Linked DNA regions of Nothobranchius furzeri. The protein of the gene in region 2 binds, or shares a complex with, the protein of the main gene of each other region. Links are inferred from orthologs where the notes say so. Each region holds a gene or a part of one and is shown on either strand. Other genes may lie near its edges.

The links.
Region 1: gemin5 (region 2) and gemin2 share a complex: the UniProt entries of both Homo sapiens proteins name them as parts of the SMN-Sm complex. The link is inferred for Nothobranchius furzeri from reciprocal best matches to the Homo sapiens genes GEMIN5 and GEMIN2.
Region 3: gemin5 (region 2) and strap share a complex: the UniProt entries of both Homo sapiens proteins name them as parts of the SMN-Sm complex. The link is inferred for Nothobranchius furzeri from reciprocal best matches to the Homo sapiens genes GEMIN5 and STRAP.

Annotation. Positions count from the first base shown.
Region 1 is NC_091758.1:40,480,612-40,484,365, forward strand, and holds the start of gemin2 (gem-associated protein 2), read right to left. Parts: upstream 2,514-3,754; 5' UTR 2,393-2,513; coding exon 2,271-2,392; intron 2,194-2,270; coding exon 2,112-2,193; intron 2,014-2,111; coding exon 1,924-2,013; intron 1,818-1,923; coding exon 1,731-1,817; intron 1,573-1,730; coding exon 1,456-1,572; intron 1,214-1,455; coding exon 1,169-1,213; intron 1,098-1,168; coding exon 1,029-1,097; intron 1-1,028. UniProt on the Homo sapiens protein: The SMN complex catalyzes the assembly of small nuclear ribonucleoproteins (snRNPs), the building blocks of the spliceosome, and thereby plays an important role in the splicing of cellular pre-mRNAs.
Region 2 is NC_091750.1:72,369,175-72,372,828, reverse strand, and holds the end of gemin5 (gem-associated protein 5), read right to left. Parts: intron 3,251-3,654; coding exon 3,103-3,250; intron 3,001-3,102; coding exon 2,881-3,000; intron 2,810-2,880; coding exon 2,599-2,809; intron 2,529-2,598; coding exon 2,274-2,528; intron 2,192-2,273; coding exon 2,029-2,191; intron 1,757-2,028; coding exon 1,342-1,756; intron 826-1,341; coding exon 738-825; intron 429-737; coding exon 264-428; 3' UTR 213-263; downstream 1-212. UniProt on the Homo sapiens protein: The SMN complex catalyzes the assembly of small nuclear ribonucleoproteins (snRNPs), the building blocks of the spliceosome, and thereby plays an important role in the splicing of cellular pre-mRNAs.
Region 3 is NC_091741.1:63,716,830-63,720,583, reverse strand, and holds the start of strap (serine-threonine kinase receptor-associated protein), read right to left. Parts: upstream 2,653-3,754; 5' UTR 2,358-2,652; coding exon 2,246-2,357; intron 893-2,245; coding exon 757-892; intron 1-756. UniProt on the Homo sapiens protein: The SMN complex catalyzes the assembly of small nuclear ribonucleoproteins (snRNPs), the building blocks of the spliceosome, and thereby plays an important role in the splicing of cellular pre-mRNAs.

The DNA.
Region 1 (3,754 bases), on a different chromosome or scaffold from region 2:
AGTTGTTTCTTAGAGATGACAGCATCAGACGCAATCTGTGTTCTACCTCACCCATCAGGCGACCCTCTGTGTGGATCCGGAGGTCAAGGAAGGATGTTGTCAGCCTCTGGGTACTCGGTCCGGTAGGGAAGGCGCGAGTGGTACCGACTCTCTGGTCCAAGAGTTGCCGCTGGCACACAGGTGTTGAGTTTGCGTCTTAACTCTGAAGGAGTTTTGTGTCAGCTGGTGCAGGTGGCGTTTATTCGGAGCGATTCTATCAGCGTGACAGAACAGCTTAGTGGAGGCTTCGGGCGGCCGACCCTTGTCCTCTGGGACTCTCGTGCCACGGAGAGGTTTTGGTTGGTTCAGAACTGTCAGCTTGAACTGAGGAGTTTTGGGTTTTATTAAAACTCAGAACACGCCCTCTCAGAGATAGAAAGCTTTGGTTATGGAGCAAAGACATGTGAGGTGGTTACCTTTACCCTGAATTCAGTGTCCTGCATGGTGTGTATAAGTGTACATGACCTTCTTTACACTGGTAAACATTACTGATTATCATAAATAATAATTATTAACCAAAGAATAATAATTCATTTCAGTAATTAAATACATTTATAATGAACCGTGATGATTATTTATGAACCTTGTAATAAACAGTGAAAAGAGTTTATTAAAAATGATTATTTTAAATCTTGAAGTGTCCTTCATCTTAGGATGGAACAGCAGACAGATTAAAGGCAGTCAGATTAAAGATGGTTCTAGAAGACTGTGCGTCTCCTGTGATGGATAATCTGTGGACAGAAGTTCAGCCAGGACAGCGTGACCTAGCTGGGGAAGTGTGACCTTTGGGTCACAAATATGGCCATTCATGTCGCTACATGTATGCAGTGTGTAAAACTGTTCCTACGTGCAGATCTGTGCATAAGTTTGTTTGATGAATGAGGGCCCTGGAGTTCTAACAATTTATTTTCGTGCGAAAATTTAAAAAACTATATTTCCACTAGCATTAGATTTGTTGTCAACCAGCTGGAGACGAGAAGCAAACTCACCAGCTGTGGAACAAACTCTCGCTCTTCAAACCAGCTGATCAGAACATCTAACAACATGAGAACTGTGGACTGAGACAAAAATATTAAGACTGTTAAACTGGCTAAAAACAACATGGATGTCATCGTAGACCCCCGTTTACCTGGTTTAGTCTGCTTACGATGCTCAGGAAGGGAGGGAAGCCAATCTAGACCCAAACAAACCATCAGTGAGACTTCACTTCCTTGGTCTCATGAAGGTGCCACAGAATTTTCATGAGTGGCGGATCATCAAAGGATTAAATAAATACACTTTATCTGTTTAGATTGTTTGCTTTTGTGGGAGAAGTAGAATGTGGAAACATCTCAGCTTTGATCGATTTAAATCAGGTAAACTCATTCTGAGGAGTAAGCGCTCACAAAGGCAATAAGGTGTAAACAGTTGTATAACCTTGCCGTAGTCCAATGCTGGTTCTTGGTGTGCATCCGTCGGGCCGGATGAAGTTCCCTGATAAACGTTCTCCCCTAAACAAAACCTCTTCCAGCCCTCCTCATCGGTCAGCCTCGGCTGTAAGACACCAGCGTCAAGCTTGCATAAACCAAACCTCCAGTGTGATGCTGCATGACAAGATTCTTACAGGTGCTTCAAATCCACCTTAACATGGGATTTCTGTCTCCCCTTGAAAGAATGCTGATTTCGGTTTGAGTAGTGAATAAAAATCTCACCATCTGCACGTTGTCATCCAGAATTTGGCTCCTCCAGTGTTGCCTGTTCTTGGTGATGCTCTGAGAAACAAAAGTGACTAAAGGACACTGTCCAGTGTGGACATGTTCGTAACGTGTGTTACTGTGTGGACATGTTCGTAACGTGTGTTACTGTGTGGACATGTTCGTAACGTGTGTTACTGTGAAGTCTCACCTGTCTGACGTCAGAGAAGTTACTGACTTGCTGCTGTTGCCACCTGAGGCTGGGGGAGAAGCCCTGAGGAGCAGCATGACATCCTGCTACCTGGAACCAAAACATGTTAAACATGTGGTGTGTGTGTGTGTGTGTGTGTGTGTGTGTGTGTGTGTGTGTGTGTGTGTGTGTGTGTGTGTGTCACTTACCGACACATTAACAGTTTGCTTCTTCAGTTTTGTGGGATCGATCTGAGCAACGACCACCTCCGGGCATAAAGAGGCCTCCAACCTAATGAAACACCAAACTTATAAAGCTCCGTGGTCGAACATGGTTCTGATTCTCGAGACGGTTCGGCTCGAACATACTGGACCTGTCGGAGGTACTCCTGGGGGTTTCTGGGGGTTCCACTCAAGTCCAGGTTTCCGCTCCCGCCTCCGGTCTCCAGCGGCAGGAGCCTCGGCATTAACTCCTCCACGTCCGACTTCATGTTCTAATAAAGTAAAAGAACAGCGGAACCGAATCAGGTAATGAAAAACACGCAAGTTTCACTACAGCACAGTCGCCATCTTCTTCTTCTTCTGGTGTTTTATTGGCGGTTGGCGAACAACGAATGGTGCATTACCGCCACCAACTGGTGTGGAGTGTGGTCTGGAACAGCGCTCATAAAACAAAATCAAACACGGGAAAGAAAGAACAAAAAAATACATATATATACACACACATACATACACATATATATACAAATACATATATACATCAAATTCTCCCAAACATCCTTATCTCTTTTAAAAACTGAAATAAAATCAGAAAACAGTCGCTTTTTGAATTCTGTCGGTCTAGTTTCACTTTGATCTGTCTAAGATTTTGAATCAATGTCCTTCTTCCTGCCTGATACTTCCGACATTGTAATATAACATGAACTATAGTTTCTTCTTCTCCACAATAATCGCATTTCCCTGTATTATGTTTCCCCATCATGAATAACGTATTGTTTAACCCAGTATGTCCAAACCTCAGTCTAGAAATGATCACCGCCTCTCTCCTACTCCTTCCAGTGTTTCTTATTTCTCCTACTCTTCTTTGAATTTTATACAACCATCTTCCCCTCCTTTCCTCCTCCCATTGTTTTTGCCATTTTTTCTTCATTTCTCGCCTTTTTATGCTCTTCATCTCTTTCTGACAAAATCGAACATCTAACTGAACCGAAGTATTTATTGTAGCTTCCTTAGCCATCTTATCGACTCCTTCATTTCCACTGATTCCACAACGAGCTGGAATCCATAAAAAATGTACTTTAAGTCCCATCGTGTTTATTCTATAAAGTGTTTGCTGAATCTCTAGGAGTATGTCTGGTCTGCTTCCTGAATGGCTGCACGTTAAACTGGTTAATGATGAGCTGGAGTCTGAACAAATAACTGAGAATAATGGTCTGTTTTCTTCCACCCATCGAACTGCTAACAGGATTGCGAGAATCTGTATAAATTTTTACATAGTTATAATAGTGATCGATATAATCCTGTGCTGTATGTGAGTTTAGTATGAAAGACTTATCCATATTCTTTCTCTCTAATAATGATAAATCAACAGACGCCTCAGGAAGAATCCATGGCGGAACAGCAGGTAATGGAACTCTTTGACTGATTGTAAACCGATCTCATTTAAGTTCTACTGGTTTTTTGATCATCACCCATCCAAAACTTGTTGTTTCCTTCTTTTCTTTCTCCCAGCAAGGTTTTGGTATGTCTCGTGTTGGATGATCTTCTTCCTGACCCTGAAGATTTGCCCAATAATTTAAAGCTATTCGTTCTCGTCTGATTGCTATTGGCATCTCACCCGTCTCTACCTGTAA
Region 2 (3,654 bases):
CATCAGCTCCACTGTTTCACGTTCTGCTTGGTTTTCAGCTGTTGTACATTAAACTGTTTTGTATTTTAATTGTAAACTCTTTGTTTGTCCTGTTCTTTATGGAGCGGGTCGGGCTCTGCTCTAGAACTCAAGAAACAAACGGTTTTCATTTTCATCAGTGGTTCTCCTTCCTGTTGGAGGGAACGGCTGAAATCAACCCTCTGGAGTCCGGGTTCGTTACTAAAGTTCTTTATTTGACAGCAGCGGCGCATGACGAGCTCCGATCAGGAGCAGAGTCTCCGCATGGCCTTCAGAACGCTGCGGCTGCTTCCGTGTTTACGGAGCATTTCTTTGGCCTCCTCCTGGAGAACGTCGGACACGGATGACGAAGACCGGCTGAGATGAAGGAGAACAAGGCAACATTCCACCACATCTGGGCGAGGGAACATCTGGAAAGCAAAAATACCAGAAAGAACTTAGTCGGCAAAAAATGAACGATGTTTAGTAAACGTCCGTCCGGAGTTAAAGCAGGACGAGGAAACTCGTTTTCACCGCTTTGCTTTAGCCTCATGAAGCTTTAACTCCTGATCAGCAGCTGGAGACGTGTGTGTGTGTGTGTGTGTGTGTGTGTGTGTGTGTGTGTGTGTGTGTGTGTGTGTGTGTGTGTGTGTGTGTGTGTGTGTGTGTGTGTGTGTGTGTGTGTGTGTGTGTGTGTGTGTGTGTGTGTGTGTGTGTGTGTGTGTGTGTGTGTTTTTTACCTTGATGGATTCGGGCAGGTCCGACAGCTCCTTCTGATATTTGGACATCTTTGTGGACAAAGACAGAAACGTCTCCTGGTTTTCCGAACTGAACAGAGCACAAAGGTCAAATTAAAAGTCAGGCACCAGATTAGCTCTGGGGACATTTCGTGTGTGGGTGTGTGTGAGAGAGAGAGAAATCTGTCTTCTCGATCCCCAGTGAGTCGTGGAGGATGGCTGCTTATACTGAGCCAGGATTCTCTGGAGGTTTCTTCCTGTTAAACGGGAGTTTTCCTCTCCACTGTCGCTAAATGTTTGCTTAGCATGAGGATTGCCGTATAGTCGCTAACAGTCAGTGACTTGATGCAACCTGCTGGGTTCCTTATATAGGAAACATTATTTCTGATTGGCTTAATGAACTGACCTGAATTGGAATGTTTATTATGTGAAGGTCCTCGAGACGACTCTTGTCGTGATTTGGCGCTTTATAAATAAACTTGAACTTGTTAATTCTGTAATCTGAGTTTTTGTTTAATAATCTGAATAAACAACCAGATTAGTTGTGAGATCTAATTAGATCTAATAATTGGACAAATTGAGAGACACTGGTGTTAAACAGCCTCACCGCTGCTCCGCATCAGCACCGCTCGGACCGTCTGATAAGGGACTTTGGTCCTGTTGGATCCCAGAGTCCAGCTGACTCCCCAGGACGCGGTTGTGCTGCAGAACCATGGCGGCCAGCTGGTCCTGGATCTCCTTCACAGATCTGTGAGCAGCCTGACTGATGGCGTGCGGCTCCGACAGAAGGACAGACACATCAAAGTCCAGTTCCTCCGAATCTGGGTTCTCCAGCTGGTCTTCTGGCTGTTCAGAAGGAAGTCCGTTCTGGACGTCTTGTCTGCCCGCCGAGTCTCTCCACCAGAACCGGTACAGACGGTGGTAGGAGACCATCGCCTGCAGGCTGCTGGCCGCTGCACTGGATGCTTCTGTGGTGGGATGAAGAGTTTTGGAATGTCTCCTGGAGAAAACCCGGATGTCTCCTGGAAAACAAAACGGCTCGGTTTGATTAAAGAGTAAAAATGGAGAAGGTAGCTTCTGACCCGGTCTCTGGTGAGCACACGGGTCCAAAAGGATGAATCAGTGGTTTTGGGTTATGGTTGCAGATCACCACCAGCAGATGGCTGTGGTAGGCCACACACACACACACACACACACACACACACCCACACACACACACACACACACACAGAATTATGGGTTTCTGATCATCTGGAGCTGAATGTGAATGGAAAGGTCCGAATGGGCTCGGTACCGTCGGGGAACAGCAGCCTGCAGAACTCTGCAGAGACACAGAAGTGTCCCTCGTCTCGGAGCCAGGACGCCGCCCGCCACAGCTCCTCCAACAGCTGCTGGCCGTCGTCCACCAACCAGCTCAGCAGCGCCCGGGTCAGGTGGACCGAGCAGTACAGCAGAACCTGACGATAGAGACACATGCACTTCAGCTGATTTAAAGAATGGAAAGTTTGTTGTTTTGGACCGTGCCGGGCCAGACTGGACCTGTCTGAGGGGGATGCTGGTGCTGGGTGTTGGACTCTCCACCCTCCTCAGGTCCTGCAGCAGAACATCTGCGCTGTCGGCTCCAACACCGAACTCCTCCTCCCACACATCAGTGACCCGGTCCAGAAAGAGGGTGGATCTCTGACCTGGCGATGCCCACGGATGGCTGGAGGCGCCGGGAGCCAGAGGGAAGACCTCGGAGCTGTCCAGCAGCGCCGCCAGCAGCTCAGCCACACACAGGTGGATCCTGTGGACCTGAACAGAACCGGGGTCAAACAGCATCTTTACCTGAAACGACCCGCTAAGGTTCTGGTTGGGTTCTCACCAGAAGGCCCGGCTGTGAGCCCAGAACATCCTGCGCTCCGACCCAGTCGTGAGCAGCAGCCAGGTCTCTGGCACATCTCAGAGCCAGCGACTGGGCCAGAGCCTCCTCTCCGGAGATCCGGGCCAGGCTGGCGGCCGTCCTCAGAGACGGAACGTCGTTCTTTCTGGAGACGACTTTGGCTGCATCGAAACCACAGCCAGCAGCGAGGTAACTGGACCGGAACCAGAAGAACCCGTTAGTTCACTAAAGCAGATGCTCTACATAAGTTCTGAAGGTTCTGACCATTTAGCAGCAGCAGACAAATGTCCGTCTCTCTCCAACACAGCGGCCCAAGACGTGTACAGGTTCTTCAGAACCACTTCATCTGCCGGCAGCCGGGCCAGAACCAGAGCGATCGCCTCTCTGACACACAGAACCGCTCCGTTAGCATCCGACAAACATCAGAACCACTCAGTTCTACCTGGGTTCCTACAGGTGAACCCGTCTGGTCCAGCGCTTCAGAACCTGTAGAGCTTGTTGGACTCCAGCAGCGCCACAGCCTGGTACGGTTTGTTGACGGAGAGCAGGTGAGACGCTGCCTTCAGGTACTGCTCCTGCAGACACAGCTGCTTCACAAAGGCCTCCACCGTCCGGCGCCACACCTCAAAGCCAGCTGCAACAGCAGGAAGAAGAAAGTGACACGATGTTCTGACACTTGACTCGGGTCTTTAGCTCACACGGGCAGGACCAGAATAAACACGAATCATCTGACATCCTGGTTCTGGGGCAGAGGCTTAAACAGCCTCAGTTTGGAGAAATACAGGTGCTGGCCAGTAAATTAGAATATCATCAAAAGGTTGAAAATATTTCAGTAATTCCATTCAAAACGTGAAACTTGTACATTATATTCATGCAATGCACACAGACCAATGTATTTCCAATGTTCATTACATTTAAATTTGATATTCATAAGTGACAACTAATGAAAACTCCACATTTGGTATCTCAAAAAATTAGAATATTCTGAAAAGGCTGAATATAGAAGACACCTGCTGCCACTCTAATCAGCTGATTTAC
Region 3 (3,754 bases), on a different chromosome or scaffold from region 2:
CCTATATGCACAATTATTTTGCTTCGACAAATGACTGTCTTCTAGATTCTAGGCTAGATGTATAGTAGTTTATCGAATAAATGAAACTAAACATTTAATAGAAAACACGTAACAGAAACAAAGAAAGGTTGGTTTTCTTTTTTTTTAAAACACATGCAAAACAGATCGTTTTTCTTCACCAGGACTTTGAGGATGCTGCTGGTGGGAATTTTAGCATGATTTAAACACGTTTTTTTTTTTTCCTGAAATGTTAAAATTAAGAGTTACTCTGAAAACAAGATCATTTTTATGACACAAGGTGAGATCTTGCATGGAGCCCAAGGTTGAGGGAGATTGTGAGTGATCTTGTATTTTTTTTTTCATTTTGTAACAGTTGATCTTCTTTCACCTAGGTGCACCACTTGCACCAAGTGACTTGCTGTATTTTTCTGTTTTGAGGTTTCTAAGATAACACATAAAGAACAAGAAAAAAGTTAAGAAGCTATGATTTGTCTGGTAAATGGGATAGTGAAATTCTTTTTCAGTGGTTCAGTTTACTTCCTTTTTGAAATATGTATGTCCAACAATCTCAATGAGTCCAAACGCACATTTGCAGAGTGTGTGAGTGAAGGGGAGTAGAAAGAGAATATATTATTAATAAAAGACAACTTGTTTTTACAGCTAAACGTTTTAAGAGTGTTAAAAACAAGAAAAAAGTGCATTTTCCAACAAAATTCAAATCATGCATCTCTACATCGAGAGCTGAACCCCACTCACGCTGTGAAGTCTGCAGCAGCTGTGGCTGCCTTGGTGGCGTCTGTATTCAGAGTGGCTCCCCAAACCGCACCTTTGTGACCCAGAAACGTTCCGATCCAGTCCCCTGTGTCTCCCTGGCGCAACATGGGCTTGCCATCTAACAAAAGGAAGAAGGGGATGGTGATGTACTTGTTAAAACTCCCATGAAAAGATCATTAATATGAACTTTCTCAAGACATTGAGTGGCTTTCAAGCAGCTGGTGTAAAATGTTAAAAATCAGTTTTGTATTAATCTGAGCTGAGAAACTGGGTGTTTCTCAAGGTCAAGGAACCTCGCCTTGATGCCTTGGTCCCAGCCCAGTTGCCTAAGAGATACGTCATCAGGAACCGCCAAGACGTGTTCCAATGTTCATGTGCTACAGAGGCGTCTGTCCTTCGTTTGTCCGCCGTTTAGCTAACTGACTGAGAATACATGGGAGGTGTCTTGTTGCCTTCTCTGACTGAAACATTTCTCAGAATACACCACAGTATTTTCAAATGAATGGCGGATCAGGAGCCGGCAGCTACTTCAGGGGCAAATTTCCAGTTTAAATGCAAGTCAACTAATTGTAGCTATCAGGCTGATATCTGAAATATTTTTTTAGATTCAAAGCAATTATCTATGGTTGGTCAGTTGCTTTGCAGTTGCAGATTCGGTGGCAAGCGGGTAGTAACTTGCTTACATATTTAATTTAACCAATATATACATAATTTAAAAAAGTTAAAGGCTAGTTATACATATATATAAATCTAACTTTACCTCACATGTCACATGACGTGATGGCGGGTCACGTGAGATAAGTCTGTTCCATGTAACCGTTTTCTTTAATCCTTGCAGGACAGTGTCCTCTTAAGCACTGAGAAACAGCCACTGCCTTAAATTATATAGAATGTGTAAAGAGGACCAAACTCAACAAATGTTAAAGCTGCTAGCAGAGGCTTATTAGGGGCACCATGGTAACCATCAGTAGCTTATTACTTTCGCCATGGTATTCACCTTCCCGTTTCCCTCACTCCCTGACAGAACACTTGGTGAGGGTCATATGGCTATTCTGACAGAAAGGGAAGCCTAAGACGAATGGTGATGATTTTACTGTTTTTTTTTTTTTTTTTTTGTAATGGAAGAGAATTTTTCAGGTAAAAATTATCTCCACTTTTTGCTTGGAAACAAGTAGGTGAACACAGAGGAAAACTCCTACACGATGACAAATTTGTATTTATATAAAGTTGTGAAAGAAATGTGATTCTTCAAAGAATGAAACCAGATCGTGAACTGAACACATCTGAGGTGATTCAAGTAATGCAGATAGGATTTTCATAAAAAAAGACATCTGAAATAAATCGTTACAAAGTTTCTTTTGAGGCGCAGGTAAGTCAGGGACCAAAGTGAGAGAAGTCTGTGTGAGTGAGACAGGTAAATGAAGATCCTGAGCAGGGCAGCACCTTGGATTTGGACGGCTTGAGGACTCACCTTTGCAGGCGCTGATGAGGAAGTAGCCAAAAGGAGTGATTCCACTGAAAGCCAGGTCCACCACAGGCCGGGTGTGACCGGAGCAGGTGAGAGGGGTCTGTCTCATCGCCATGCTCCTCCAGCTGGACAGAGGACAGAAGACCGAAAGAGGAAGAGTTAGCTGGTCGCTAACGGCTGGCTTACAAGCTAGGTCGGCTAACCAGTAGCCGAGGAATACGAAACGTCTAATTGGCGCGTTGTTATCAAAGCTGTAACGTCCTGCCGTTGTCTGTTAATTAATCTTTTAACAGCCGAGAATTCAAAGTTATTCTGACCAAATGTCGGCTCTCCCCCAGCAAAAGAATGGCTGTCGTGCTAATAGCTACAACATTGCAACTAACTAGCAACGTGCACTGCAGCGTCACAGTGACAGTGTAGTAAAAGAGTTGACGTAACGTAAGCGTGCGGTGCGACCCGTCGCCGCCATATTGTCAGAGTCATTTGGTAAAGCGCACACAGCTGAAAGCTGAGTCTGATTAAAAGTTCTCGACAGAGATACAACATTCCCGTTCTTCTGGCGAACATATATGACTGTGCGAAGGAGTGGGAGCTGTTTGAGCTGTAGTCTGGAAAACTGGGATTTAAAATTGGAATATTGCAGGAATGAATTGTGCTGCTTTGGAATGAAATAAAGTGGCAGGAAAAATAAAGTTTAGACACAGCAGTATTAGAATATGCATTAATGTAGTCAGTAATAATAATAATAATAATAATAATAATTATTATTATTATTATTATTATTATTAGTTCTCAAAATACATATATCATATTTTCCCGGTATTATAAACAGTCTGATCAGTTTTTCATATTCCCCATTTCATTTTTTTTCTACAGTAGGACTAGCCTGGCCTGCCAGACTCTGTGCAGAATTAAACAGAGGAGGAGTATGGCAGGCCAGGCTACAGTAGAAAACCATGAAGTCAGAGACCCATAATAAGCTTGTTGGATCCAGATTTTACACTTTAAATACAAAATAACCCAGTCTGGTTCTAATCCACCTACTACATTATATCAGGTATTTATTCAGTCTGCTGTTTATGTCTCAAAAACTTTAATTTCAAGGATCAGTGTATGTGACAGTGTGAGTGTCCTGTCACAGTGTCACGATTGATCATGTGCCCTGGCTACTTGACATAGGGGATGTCCTTTTGGCTGACTGGTATGAGTGCGTGACTCTCACCCAGGAGCCTGGGGATCAAATCCCGCCCGGGCCCTCATTTCTCCACCCTGCCACATTTATAACATTGTCTGTGGAGGTAAAAATAGCAATATTCTGTACTGTAGAAATAGAAACACGTATGGATTAATCATCAAATGATTTACATCCTGGTGTCTTCAGGGCAGTGCTCTCTCAATCTCTGGTCCTGGAGCTCTTCCATCCAGCATGTTTTAGTTGTTTCCCTGCTCCAGCACACCTGATTTGATGGCTGATACCAGTTCAGAAGACCATCAAGCCTCTAAGCAGGTCAT